Linked DNA regions of Drosophila melanogaster. The protein of the gene in region 1 interacts with the protein of each later gene in a pairwise test. Each region holds a gene or a part of one and is shown on either strand. Other genes may lie near its edges.

Region 1 (7,515 bases):
CCAGAAAATTTATTTGAAACTAATAGAAATAATTGTAACTAGCAAGAAGGCATCATCATATCATATCCTGTTCCAAAGGAGCACTACTTTCACCAAGTTTAACATTTTTTGCACAGAACCCCAGCCAGCCTACAGCGCCAGATAGCTCAAATATAGGCCTATATATATATATATAAATTTATATTATATATATTTATATTCAGAAGTCCTCCATAATGACCATTTACTTAGCCGCAGTTTACTCGCTCTTTCTAAACTCTATCTATCTGTGTGTGACGCGCTTTACTTTTCCAGCAATTTTTTGAGACAATACTCCTTATATTGGATAGTTAAAATGATTGATATATATATATATATAGTATATATACATACATACACTTATGTACACTTGATAAAAATTGTAGTCTAGAATATCTAATAAATGTTTTGCTCCCAGCTCAAAAGGCCACATCATCGCAGTCGAGCAGTCCGTGCTCAATGAAATTGCGCGACTCCTTTTTGTAGTGGCGATCGCAGAACTCGGCAATCCTGGAGCACGCCTCCTCGATCATTGCCCCGGGCACAGTAAGTACGATCCGCACGTATCCCGGGTACTCAAAGCAGCTGCCCGGCAGACAGAAGACACTCTGCTCATTCACCATCTCCTGGACAAAGTGGGTGTCGTCCTTGAATTCCGGGAAGCGTTCGATGCTCACGCCTATCATCATGTACATGGCTCCATTGGGCATTACGGGATCGAGGCCACGCACCTGTTTCAGCATCTTGTAGGCCAGCATGGCATTCGACTGTGGGATAAAAATAATCATATAATAATTATCCATTAAGCTGATAATTACAAATGATAAACTTACGTGGAGCACATCAATCACGCCGTCAAAATAAGACTGCGGTGTCTTGGTCAGGATATCGGGCAGGGCACCCTGAATGATGGTATTGGAGCCCAGAATGCGACCACACATGTTCTTTAGACCGACAATGGCATCGCGCAAACGATTCTTGCGATCGTGCACTATGATCCAACCCATTCGCCAACCGGGAACCAGGAAGCGTTTGGTCAACCCGCCACAGGAGAGAACTGGAACCTCCGTGGTCAGGCTGCTCACGGCCAAGTGCTTGGAGCCGGGGAACACAAAGTGCTCATAGATCTGCAACGAAAGCAAAGGCAATTCAATTCAATTATTTCATGTGTGCTCGATTTAAGGGTCACTCACCTCATCGGCAATGATGGGCAGATAGTGGCGTTCGCAGATGGCTATCAACTCGCGCAGATGCTTCTCATCGAAGACGCTGCCACAGGGATTGCTCGGATTGTTGATCAAAAGGGCGGCGGTGTTCTCATCGATCAGGCTCTCTAGCTGAACGAGATCGGCGCGCCACTGCTGATCGGGCAGAAGATCGTAGTAGCGCACCTCGATATCCAAGCCCTGGGCCAGCGTATAGTACAAACAGAAACCCGGTCGCGGCACCAGAACATTCTGACCACGATCCGCCAGCGCCAGGATGCAGTACTCCAAGGCGGAGGAGCAGCCGCTGCACAGCACCACCTCGTTGGCATCGATCTCTCCGTCGGGACGCTGGTGGGCACTGTATTTGGCCACCGCTTTGCGGGCTATCTCGTGACCCTGGGTGCTGGCATACCCATTGTACTTGCCGCTCTCCAGGGAATGCAGCACCGCCTTCATTGTCTCATCGGCGGCTTTTAGATTGCCAAAGGTTGTGGGATCACCTGGTTGAGAAAAGCAAGTTTCAAAATGCATTTAAAATATATAATCTATAATATAAAATAACCTTTAAGCTAATAAAATAATACAGAAAATATTCCATCAGTGAATTGCCTAATTTATGGAATAAAGTGCATTTATTTTTGGAAACGGAATGCAAAATGGTGTTAAAAAAATAAAAATCAGGCGACTTCGCATCCGAATCTCTGATTGCATTGGGTCAATGGCTAACTCGTTCGTTTCCGGCTAACTTCGATTCCCGATTCCGATGGCTAAGCAAGCAGCAGCAGTATAATCTGGCTCAGATCCCGAGTTCGATTCCATTCCATTCGATTCGATTCGATTCGAATGGATTCTCGACTTTGTCAAACAGGTGGAACTACATTTTATGCAAATGCCCCACAAAACACAAATACAGTGCGCGTGCCTCGCTACAAAAATAATACGATATTACTAAAAACAAAACAAAAAAAAAACAATTAAATTATATACAAGAACAAGAACAACAACAATCGAAACAACAACAGCTTTACAGATTTTATATATCTGGTATCTGGCATATTTTAGCACAAATTTAGAAACTCGCGACAATCGGCAAAATTAGCTTCTCTGTAAATTTCCTAAGCCAGAAAGCCAGTAAGCCCGAATTCCCATTGAGCTCTAACATTTCAGGGAAGTCCAATGTCCCAACTTATATAACGACTTATAAGCATTATAGCCGAAGCACCGATCTCTGATTGGCCCGATTTTGTGGGTGTGTATGACCAATGGATCGCTTTAGTTCACAATGAAACCGAATTCATTGGGTTCATAAAGCTAGTTTTATCAAGTTTGGGACAACTCAGCTGCCAAAAATAAAAAAAAAACTAAGATATAAATATATATATATATATATTTATAAAACGGCAAGAGCAAAAGAGATCGCACATCAGAAATATTCAAATTTGGCCCAAAAACTTGTAGCAAAAACGTCAGAGGTGTTATGGGGATATGGTGAAATGAGGAGCAGGTTTCCCACGAAACTGGATAGTTAGCACTACCTGCTCAAATATTTTTCTATAATTTGCAAATTTTGGATATTTCAAATCATTGCTTTTAGCCACTATTAAAGGCGTACTTTTCAGATTAATGCATATATAGTAAATAGAAGGCGAAATCCTGATAATGTAAATATACATTATACATACATGCTAAATGCATAGCATACTTCTGAGAATTCTGAAGAGGAAAAGCTTTTAAGATAGATTTTTCAAACACATATGTAAGTTCTGCGTCAAAGGAAATTCAAGAATCAGTAATTTGCAGACAAACTAATAATAATTTATAAGGTTTATATAAAAAGCCCTATAAGTTTTAAGAACTTGAAAGTTTAAGATGTCAACTTTAAATATCTAAAATGAATCTATACAAGAAATATACTAAGTACCATATTTTAAAAGAAAACTGATTATATACGTACAGTTTTTAGAACTTTTACTCTTTAGATATATATTAGTTAATTTATATATTTATGGTGCTCACCAATGGACAGCGGTATCATGGGCTTCTCCGGATTCGGTTTGATCTTTAGCGACTCGACAATGTTCCGAATGCGATTGTGCGTGTTAAGGGATAGCTTGGAGCCCTTTATCTCCCATCCGGAACGCTTTCGGCTGCTGCTGCTCGTGGCTGTGGTGTCCACCAGGTCCTGTTGCTTGCGTATGTCCTGCGATTGGAGCTGCAGCTCGGCCAGCGCCTGATCGACTACATCGCAATTGGGCGTCACCGGCGCCGGGGATTCCGGCTCGCTGGGACTCCGGCTTGTGCAGCTGGCACGATTGCGGCTGCTCTGGTATCGGAACTGACTCTCGTTGGCAAAACTGCTGGGCATTATCACCAGGCCGGCCCTTTTCCCGATTCAACGAAAGAAAATCGAATAGCCAAACCAAACCAAACCAAATCGAATCAAAATAAACAAAAACAAAAAAAAAGCACAAACAAATATTGCTAATATTTTTGATTACGACGATGTCTCCGGTCCCGATTTCTGGCAAATGGAGCACTCTGCTCAAATGAATGAAAAATTTGTATCCTGTTTATCGTTCCAGACGAGCATTAGAGCTGTGATCTTTGGTCAATCACTGTGTTGGACAGACGATTCTTGTTTTCGTTGGATTCCCTTTGGATACACGGTATATGGTTGATATGGGCTAGTACTTTCAAGTCGTTTGCGAATTCTGTGCTAAACTGATCTACTTCGGCGATATCTTGGGGCTTTTATCGCCTCCGGCCGACTTCGTTTAGTCGATTGCTATATAGGCTCTCCATATAGACATCCATATACATATATACGCATATCTGGGTATATATAGCCCATACACTAACATCGCCGGTTATCACGCGCCTGACTTTGGCTTCGGTTCGAGCCGAGAGGGCCGATCGAAAGACTGAAATAACAACAACATAGGGGGCGTCGACTGATTTGAATACCCGCCGGTTCGAAATCATATTCATACTCGGAACCAGATTTTAGTTCGATACGATTCGTTTTGATTTGATTTGATATAAACAACAACAGGCGCCGCCGCCGCCGCATCGCATCGATATTCATTTAAATGCGCCAAAGTTGTCTATAATATAATATATAATCTTGGGCCAATTTGAAACACCAACCGAGCATCCAATCAACCAACCAACCAAAACCATTACCATTAATGCATATCGTGTGGTCGGTCGATCCACCGATCCAACCGACCACCACCTTTCCACCCACTAAACCACGTGCCAATCAACCCATAATATAGTTGGCTAGAGACACAATGTATCTGTAAGATTTTCCTGTTCTCCGATCTCAGCGGTCATCGATCCGAATCACTAATAAACTGGCTAAACTCGAGTATTGCTTTCGGAAAAATGTTGCTATTTGCTACCTATTATTGTATCAACTTCCCACAAAAATTATCAATAGAATACCAGAAAGTTACCACAACAATCCTGCACACATATTATAGATTCAATAATTTCATGCATTTTGTGATAATAAATAAATAAGTTATTTTCATTTGTTTCTGCAATATTTCTACTTTAAAACAAAAGAGAACGACTATCACATACCCGTTACTCAGCTAAATGATATTTAAATTTAAAAATATAAGTTACTTGTAAACAAATTGCAAATCTGGTTGATGGCAAACAAATCTATTTTTCCGCACAAGATAATTGCTACGTTTATAGAAATATTTACATGCCAAGTTGATATAATTTAAATATGAGTTTGTGCTCTTTTTGTAGTCTATTTAAGTTGATTTACTTTGTGAGGATTTTAAAAATCCTTGTTAAATTTAATAACAACTCAGACTTAACGATTAAATCTTTTGAAAGGTGAAAGTACAGAGTTCAAAACTAAAGTAACTCGGACAAAAAATCTGTTCAAGATCGTAGAACAATAAATTTAAAAAAAAAAAAATAGTGGGAAAATAAAAAAAAAACTCACGGCGCATTTAACAATTAATTCGAAAGTGTCCGCTAAATGCACATCTGGACAAACGTGGAATGCACTGCGATACCAAGTCCATAGATGTAATCCCATCGATTTGAATAATTGCATATGCATAAGCGACTATAGGATATATCTGTATCTGAACCCGATCAACTAGATCGGCTAGATAAACTGGCCAAGCACACCTGTTGACGATGACAACGCAATTTCTCAGAATCACGGAGCGGAGATTCCGGTCATTTTGACTCTGATCCCCGGACAGGAATAGGTTGCAAAATTCCAAACTGCGTTGCAAATATCTGTACATCTATATCTATAGATCTTAAGCCATCTGACGCAAGAACTCACAAAAAACAGACCCTGACAAAAGGAGATTCTTCGAAACAGAACAATGTGGTGTCGTATATAACGATTTATTTTGACTTGAAATTGGATTAGTGTCGCAAACACAAGGTGTTTCGAATTAAGGCATTCTTCTATTTTATATTTCAAGTGTCACTCTGGCTGCTTACATTTTTTTTTGAGCTGAAAACATATAAATATAGCATATATATTGCTCTAATCGGATTAGAATCTTAACTTAAATGTAGTTACCACGTCAATACAATTTATTTTCACCCTCGTGGAGTCACATATATATCTTGCTTATAATGAAATAAATGTTGGAATAAATACAATTAAAAATAATAAAAACCTCTAAATATTCACTGTATTCAATCTATTCAACTTTACAACGATTTTACATCTTTTTGAAACTTACAACCAAATCTTTTGAAGCCAACTAATTGTTATTTCAAATTCCTGGCTATTATGCAAATATTCTTCGTATTTTCACTATTCTAGATATTTGTTGTTTACTCAGCATTTACAATAAGTGGCCTTTTACTAAACGCGATAAACAAAAATATGTTTTTCGCTCTAACCTTGCCATTGCATCATAAACAGTCACCGATTTCTCGCAGGCTAGTCGGTCGTTTAGTCGGTTAGTCGGTGGATAAGTCAGCTGGTCAGTCGGTGGAGCGAGCCTCCTGCTCACCTCGTTTGGAGCAGGTTTTCTTGAACTTCTTTTTTCTGGCCACTCGCAGTCACACAGCTGGTCACGCCCCCTCTTCCAATGTGGATAACCAAGTTGCTGGCTGTGACAATTCCGATCATTGTGTAATTTCTTAAGCATCTTGGTGGATATCTCTTTTTATATTATATATATGAAATTCAAGCCAAAACCTTTCAGGTTTTTCTGCCTAACAATATAGAACAGAAAACCAAGATAAATCGAACGTTTCGCTGGCTGATCGAGTAAGCGATCAAATTACACTTTTTTTCGCTCAGTGATTTCTCGTAAGAGTATACGATAGAAAGAAAAAAAACAAAGTAAGCATTTCTAGAATATGTACAGACAATTTTATTTGCATTATTATGTTCGCCCACGATATTGTACCACTGCAACATATGCATACTTAAACTAAACTCTCTAAGTCCTGATGTACAAAAAAAAAAAAAATGGTTACATAAATAATAAGTCAAGAATTCAAGTTCCGATTGATGTACACGAATGGGGGAATATATGTATAATACTGCGACTGCGACCACGCCTACTTGCGCTTGAACATGTTGCTGAGGCGTCGCTTGGGCGGCGAGTTCTGTAAAGGAATAAGTGAACATGATTACACATAACGAACATACATATATCATCATCATAGATCATCAGCAAGATTTGTGCGTTTCCCATTGCTTTCGTTGCCGCTTCTAATTGCGTCCGGGGCACGAATAGGTGAGAAAGACGAGCCCCATTCCCGACAAGATGCCAGTGATCACCAGCACTAGCTTGTCCGCCAGATGCAAGGACAGCCCCACCATGACCAGCAATGCAAAGCCCATGACCAATCGCTGGCCAAGACTCAGATGGCGTAGGAACCGCCTGCACTGAGCCATTAACGAGCGGTGGCGCGTTGGCCTGCGCTGTTGCAAGTCCGATGGTTGCTGGACATAGGTGATATTGATCTGCGGCAGCGGCTGCATGTGCACACTGCCGATCGAATAGACTGTACAAGATGAGGCGCCGGTCATGTTGGTGGCACAGCTAGTCGTAGTGATATTACTGCAAGAGGCGGCCACCAGTTGTGTGAATTTCGGCTCAACTTGCTCCTCATCAAGCGGCTTGTAGTCCAGCGGCTGCAGCTGAAAGGGTGCCGTGGATTCCGTCTCCTTGCACAGCTGCTCGAAGTACCAGTCGTTCTGGGTCTCCTCCATCATCACACTTTCGCCACCATGCATTGCCCAGGTGACACAGTTTTCGTGCTCAAATTGTTGCTGCAG
Region 2 (7,515 bases), on another chromosome or scaffold:
ATATATTTTTAAAAGCAGGATTCCCTACCAATCTTTGCAGGAGGTTCCCAACTCGTAGACTTGACAGCAAAACGCCTCCCGTCCGCCTTCAGTTAGTTGAGCACCGAACAAAAGTGAAAGTAGGCAACACAAGGGGGACTTGCATCCCAACAGGAGTGCACAACGTATCCTATATCCCAGATCGCATATTCCGCATATCCCACATAACGAGCACTCCGCATCCCATTCCCTTGCTTTTGTTGGTTCGCCATTGTGGACTTAAATGCACAATTTGCGCATGAAAAGCGCGGATTTGACGAGAGGTAGGAAGCCATAGATCACTGAAAGAAATATATTACAGATGAATTAAGGAAAAGTTATAAAAAATATAAAACACGATCTTCGTTAGACACAATAATTCCAATATATCGCTTGAAGAGAATATTGGTATTTTGTTTGCTCTCAAAATAACTTACCTTTGAAATTCGCAGACTGATTTGTTTGCTGTGTGCCGCATATACCGATACACACACATACACACTGGCACATTCAATGTACTTCCGGTGGCGGAACAGGAACAGGAGCAACTGCGAGCCGCGACTGGATTCGGTTTTGAAGTTGCTTTCAAGGCCCTTTGACAGACGCAGCGACGGATAATACACACTTAATTGCTCAAAATGATGCGATTGTGGAGCGATGCATATGCCACACACGAGTCCGCTACCACCACACAGATACGCACGCACACTGGCAAAGGGAAGTACATCACCCATCTGCACCACCCGACCAGCGAGCGGCGAATGGAAAGCTCAGCCACAACTTTTTGGCGCGCTCTCTTTGGACAGGCTGTAAAAACAGGAGGAAACTGGTGAAAAAGGGGTGTTAAGGGGGTGGTGTGAGGGGGCCAACAAAGAAGAGGGAGTTACCCTGCTTATGTATTTAAGCCACAACAAAGACACTCGAGAGCATATCATTGGCGTTTTGTGACGACCTCTCCGCACTTGAGCTCACATGAGCCGCAGGCCATAATTGCATTTAAAGGATTTGCACTCTGCCCTCGCAAACCCCACTCCCCGAACCTTTCCCACATGCGGCTGTGCGTACGAAAACATGCTAAATATGGTTATTGAAGGGCAGCACTCTGGGAAAGAAGTTGGGCCAGTGAGGCCTGGGAAATCAGCTTCCAAGTCTTAGCAAGAAGAAAAACTCTTGATATTTGGGACATTCAAAAACCATATTTTGAAGCACCAGATCTAAAATGTAAAATCTTTAAAAAAAGATCGAACTATCGATCCACAAAATAATTTTAAAATATTTCTAAAATTTATAAAAATAAATCTGCCGTATTTTTGTATATACCCTAATTCCCCAGGCTGAAACTCACATCCTTAGAATGTCCCACTCTCAAATTATCCCGAGACGACCCACAAAAAAGCAACCGCAGTTCTGCGTTTTACTTGAGAACCACTCCACGTTCGTTCAATTCTGCCCAGTTCGAAGCACTCCAGTGTGGAGTGGAGCCCCACCCCCCACGAAATTGCCTGCCCTCTACGCCCCTGGGGTTTCAGAATGCTACTCGCCTTGCCATTGTTTCAATTTTCATGTCGATTTGGCTGTTTTCGTTTTGATGACCTCGCCGCAGCAGCCGCAGAACTGTTCGGAATCTATAAATACTGGCAATCATTACGGGGTCTCATATTTTTATTGCATATTTTATAGGATCTCAATCTGAATGCGAGTGCGATGCAGCACTGAAACAGGGGCAGCAACTTCAGAATCTTTGTTTCTGCAATCCAATTGTCATTCATGACAGCTGTCGATCAGGAATGGCGGCTGAAAAATGTATCCGCAACAATGGAAAACGAGGGGGCAAACGGCAAACGAGGTGGTTGCTTTTGATTTGGATTCTTTAAATGTTCCCTCTGCGATTGAATTGAGTTCATGCTTCTCTGTTTTTCTGTGTAATTGCCACCTTTTGTCACGGCGAATGTTTGGCATATTTTGTAAATTATATTCTACGCAAGATCAATATTTGCATAAGTTTATAAGAGGTTATGTGATATGATATATCTGAAATTTACATGATGCATGCAAATCCAGGGATTGATAGAGATGATTACAATTGACAGAAGAAAATCTAGTTCGATGAGAATATATTAGAAAGGGTTGCGTTTTGAAAGCGGAGAGGAAACTTAAGATACGAAATTAATTGACTAGAGCTGGGCTTATATATTATATACATTTGATGTCAAAGTTTGTAAGTCGAAAATGTGAATATGATAGGGGTATAGAATATCTTAAGTGTTTTAAAGGCAACACATTTAGGGTGCCTTTTTACAATTCACTTATCCACTTTGTATCTGCCCACATCTTCAGCCAGCTGATTCTGATCGAATATCATGCAAATCCTCCTGGATTCTCCCATTCTCGGGGCAATCAATTTCAGATGCGTCACACCTTGCCAGCGATTCGACATCGACATCCAGTGTGTCTGCCATGTGGCGATGACATTGTCATGTGCCAAACAGGAAGGCAAAACACCTTTGCCGAGATGTCAACGCCCGTACATTATCATCGAGTACCTACATTCAAATGTAATTCGCATCTGAATCGACTTTGGGCATTTGTACATTTTCAACTGCTGCTGGCGGAGACATCCGCGACGGGAAATGTGCCGACAATTGTTTTGCAAGCGGGCGCAACTCCGGGGCAAAGTACTGCAAACTCGGCAATCCGGTGGTTATCCTGTTGGCTGCAAAACATCTGTCGGATGTCATCGGAAGTTGTATCTGACGGCACGCCCCAAAACAAATTTGCCTGGCAGTTTGAAACTCACAAATTTCGGAGGCGTTGGCAGCGACTCAGTTGAAGTGTGGGCATGGCCGCCCTCTTCCACTTTTTCAACGCAAGCTGCTCGGGAATATTTCACGGCACTTGGGGCGTGTATGGTGTGCCTCGGCAGAAGTTACGGATATTATTCATAATTTCCCAACGTGCCATTGTGACATATGCCATTAGAGGAAGGAATTAGGGGTCTGTCGTGCTGGGTTGTCTCTAAGCGGAAATCACTTTTCAGTTGATAAAGCCAAAGATTTGATAAGGCCAACACGCGCGGGTTGTTAGAAATTCAAAAGAGAAGAAATTGCGATAAATATTTGTCCAGTATAACATTCGTGAAAAATGTATTCAACATTGTACTGATTTTGTATATAAAGAGTCTGCGTAGAAGATAAAAACCTATATGAAAAATTTATATTACAACGTATTTAGACCATGTACTCCACGAGTACCAATTACTAAAACAAAAATCACAGCACCCACAATTTTTGTGGGTTTTCGTTGATAATGACGTGATAATTGCTTCTGTCTGATAAATCAGAGAGCGTTGTCCCGTTTCGGAAGCCTTGCAACTGACACATTCCACACCAGTGAGCAAACTCGGGCTGAGACACAGTTTATATTCGTAGCAAAGTTCAAAGGACACCTGCGGAGCGGTTTTAATTGCATCGCACAACACCAAAAGTGACAAGGAATCTTTTGGGTGCTGAGGACCGCCTGGCGCTAGGAAACAAAGTAATTACAAGGCCCAGTACAGACAGAAGCCCAAGCAGATGGGTTGAGTCGGAGGCAAAGGGAGTGGCAGGACTCGACTAGATGAGTTTCACTTAGAAAAATCATGGTGTGTGAATTTATATTGAATGATATAGAAATGCATATCCATATTTTTACTTATATACTTAAAATTGATAATAGCAGTTCAAAATCGAAATGATTTGAAATAAGTTGTAAATCGTGTTCTTAACTTTTCTCCGTGTAAAGGACATTGACAGCTGGCTCCCGGAAAGGAAAACCCGAAAACGCCACAACATTTATTCTTTGACGCCGGGATGGGACTGGCGGAGAGTGCGAGAATTCTATTAGCACCGTCAAGGAAATCGCTTTTTCTAATAGCCAAGTGCCACGTGTCCTGCGAAGCTTGAGTCCCCTGCTCAGTCGTGTGTCACGACCGAAGGACAACCGCAGCATCCTTCTCACTCCCGCTGCAAAATAAATGCTTCCCAGCCCGGCAAACAATACAATTGAAAAATTATAAAAATTTCGCACTTTCCAGAAATATACAGTCGAACGAATTCTCGTAGCGAAAACCGGACGTCGTCCTCTTGCGGCTGCACTGGGAGATACACTTGTTGTCGGCAAAGGACACGCGTCACAGATGGAAAGAGCGGGGGAAATCGAAAGGAAAAGGGGATGGCCAGACATCATCAATATTGCAGGAATCGCTCGGCAGATTGAGGCTGTCAAATAAGCGTGTCTAATGCGTATTAAGTGCTCTCCGTCCGGATTCATCGAGGGTTGTCCGTATGGCCCAATAGAGAAGTTGGCTTAATCACGCTAATAGCCGCAATTCATGCAAATGCTGCAGACAATAAAATATGCGTTGGGTATCAGTCAAGTCAATTCGAGTCAAACAGCAAGGTCAAATGGCAATGAATATTGTTAGGTGATTGCATTTGGGGTTGGCTCTCAAATGGTAAATGAATGAAATAACATTCTGGGCTTTAAGTTTAAAGGTTGAGTTAGAAATTATGATTCCCGAGATACTTTCTCACCACCATTAAAAATCTCATTTTTTTGGCGCATCTTCTTCTGATTTAATTTTTTAGCCAATTGATTGATTAATGATTTCTTTTCTTTTATCACATAGCAATGAATAAGTCTATAAAATGGCTTACAAAACTAACCTAAAGCGGCCCTGCTGAACCAAATAGAAATAACAACGTTATCAGCCCCCAGCTTCCCCGTTTCTCAAGGATCACCACATTCCTAGAGGAACATTTCAATGGGATCTACTAAAGCATTTAGGAGAAATGCATCCCATTGAATTGCTGGCGATCGGTTTTCACCATGTTGTTGTACTTCCACTTGTCAGCACTCGATGCTTGACTGCTCCAAGATCCCGATCCTGATCCCGAACCCGATCCAGAGCCGCTGCTCGACTTGGAGTGGTTCTGACCCTTCGTGGACTGGTTGTCCTTTGTGGTGCTGCTCAGGCACTTGTCGGTACGTTCGGTGTAGACCATTTTGTCTCTAGATCTAGATAGCTTCCTTCTTTTTGAATAGGTACAATTTTCTGCCGATTACACAAAGCTGCGCTTCCAATGCGTTTGTAGAGAAGTCAAAGTTCACGGTACAGTTTGCAACAGGGTGAGTACTTTAAGTTCCTTGTTGTTGGCCGAGTTTCCAGTACGTGATCCTTTTTTCGATGACAGATGTTTGCCCAATCTATTCAAATTAAATAAGCAAGGATTTGTATTAGTAACAATTCATATAAATTTTTTTTTTTTAACTGGACATTGCAAATGCTTTCACAATTATGTACAATAATTTTAACTGGCTCTGTCTGGTTTTTTACCCACCTTGCTTGCTTCAACAATTTTTGTTTGGAATCCGTGTGGCTAATTTTTGGCATTGACACAAAACTTTTGCAAATTGCACATTGGATGGAAAAGAAAGGAAATTTCACAGCTCACGCTCCGTTCAGCTCGTTACCGATCTGCTCTGCTCTGGACTTTCTACTGACCCTCCAGCGGCTTCCACAACTGGTTTAAATACGCCGAACCAATCCGTTCCGTTCCGATGCGATACGATCTCCGGCGATCCGAGTGCAATGTCTGGCGGAGCAACTGCGTCACCGTTCTACCAGCAAGTAGCGTCAATGTCGCTGTGCCAGCTGCACCATATCCAAGCCGCCAGAAACCGCCCTCGCACCGCCCCCGCACCACTCCCTCCCCCCGTTGACCTCAAACTCGGTCTCCGTCTGAGGCTAACCCGTTCCAGCGGACGACAATGCAAATTAGAGCTCTAGAGCAACTGGTTTAATCCGCGAAAACGAAACGAAACCTTTGCAAGCAACTCCAGCGGCCAGCAACGAATCGACTACAAGATACCATTTAAAACAATAGAGACACATGGTACAAGTATTGTTTAATTATATATTACTATATAGAGATTTTCTGAATATTATTAGGTTTAACAAAATGCTTGAAATCAACTGTTATTTGCTATGTACTATTAATAATCGTGTTAAAGTTTTGCACAAGTAATAGTACTTTTTGTCATTCAAACCTTTTCATTAGGTTTAAGCAATATAATAATTTTTGTGAAACTTCAAACGCTTTTCCAAGCGAAGCCTCTCTTATAAGCGGTATTACCAGGGTATAAAACACCCCCAGTAAAACCTGCTATGTATCACGTAGTATTTTCCTTTGTCTCCTCTCAACAAACATGATTATTAAGACTCGAAAAATGTTTAGAGTTGCCGGCCGGCGGTTTTTTGACACGTCATCCAAAATTCCGCAAATAGGACCTTTGCTATGGTATGTAGTCTCTAAAATTCTGATATTCCGTAGCACGGCGATGCATTCGAGTATCTGCCTATATATGCATCTATAATGATTAACAATATCATCCGATCACTATTGATATTACGAATTATGCATGAACCGATGGCTGATGAAAAGTCTTGGTTGCATTGCATCAGCCAATTTGATGAAGAAAACAACTCGAAAGCCTGTTGCCGGTTAATAGTATTTTAATCTGTTGTTTGTTGATATATAGAGATTCGATCTGAATTATGCTCATATCCAGACAATAGATATTGTATGGAATCTCAAATCTAAAAATGTTTTATTTTTAATCTCTTAGATTGCCTGATAATATAGAAATACCTTGTACAAAAAATCCTAAGGATTCCCCCGTTAGTGAAAATAATTATGCATCATTTGAATTCTTCAGAAACTAGTTATACTTGCAAGTATTATTTTGTAGATTCCGGATAATATTTAAATGTAAATATCCCACAAAAACAGTTTCATAGGTTTAATGACATCCAGGACCCCCCAAGCTTCTACGCTCTTCTCCTAGCGGTAATTCCAAAAAGAAACCCGTTAGAAGAATTCTAAAGCAGCAAATCGGATATTGTACTTTGAACGTCTAATTCGCCGTTTTAAATGTCAAAATCTGCATTTGACTTGAATAATATATAGCCAGATATGTCTGCCAAATATTTTGTTCAGACTGCATTATGCAAATGCGCCAGACACACAGTTCAATAATTAAAAAACGTGCCCAGACACTGGACAAAGAAAATAAAAAAGGTTGTATTTTTTTAAGAGTGCCGGAGCTCAAAAATGCGTTTTCAAAAATCTATATAAAGACAGGAGTGCTGAATACCTTAACACTATACGAGATATCGTCAAGTCAAGAAGAATGCTCAACAGATCCTTGGGAAACCACCTGAAACATTATGGATCCAGAAAATTCCCCTTACTAATTTGTTTACTTATACCTTTGTTTGGTGTTTGGGTTTGTTTATTCTATTAGAGATGTTTACTGTCAAATGGAGGCCCGCGTGGCAAACTTGATTTCCATTGACGTACCACTCGTTGGCGTAAACAAGAAATTTGGCACAAGTCTACTGTCTGCTCCTCCGATTTTGCATCAGAGCCCCCAAAAACTAGTTTATCTCGATCACGC

What was found.
Region 2: the proteins of Tat (region 1) and CG10570 interact in a two-hybrid assay, tested with the Drosophila melanogaster proteins (one large-scale study listed by BioGRID).

Annotation. Positions count from the first base shown.
Region 1 is NC_004354.4:14,257,661-14,265,175, reverse strand, and holds the start of Tat (tyrosine aminotransferase), read right to left. Parts: upstream 3,954-7,515; 5' UTR 3,817-3,953; coding exon of another isoform or gene 3,769-3,816; 5' UTR 3,592-3,768; coding exon 3,243-3,591; intron 1,727-3,242; coding exon 1,212-1,726; intron 1,146-1,211; coding exon 852-1,145; intron 786-851; coding exon 438-785; 3' UTR 1-437. Other genes in the region: mud (mushroom body defect), read right to left, coding at 6,946-7,515.
Region 2 is NT_033779.5:18,805,423-18,812,937, forward strand, and holds CG10570 (uncharacterized protein), read right to left. Parts: upstream 5,565-7,515; 5' UTR 5,450-5,564; coding exon of another isoform or gene 5,397-5,449; intron 5,263-5,396; coding exon of another isoform or gene 5,163-5,262; 5' UTR 5,061-5,162; coding exon 4,839-5,060; 3' UTR 3,272-4,838; downstream 1-3,271. Other genes in the region: CG42502 (uncharacterized protein), read right to left, coding at 5,163-5,262, 5,397-5,449.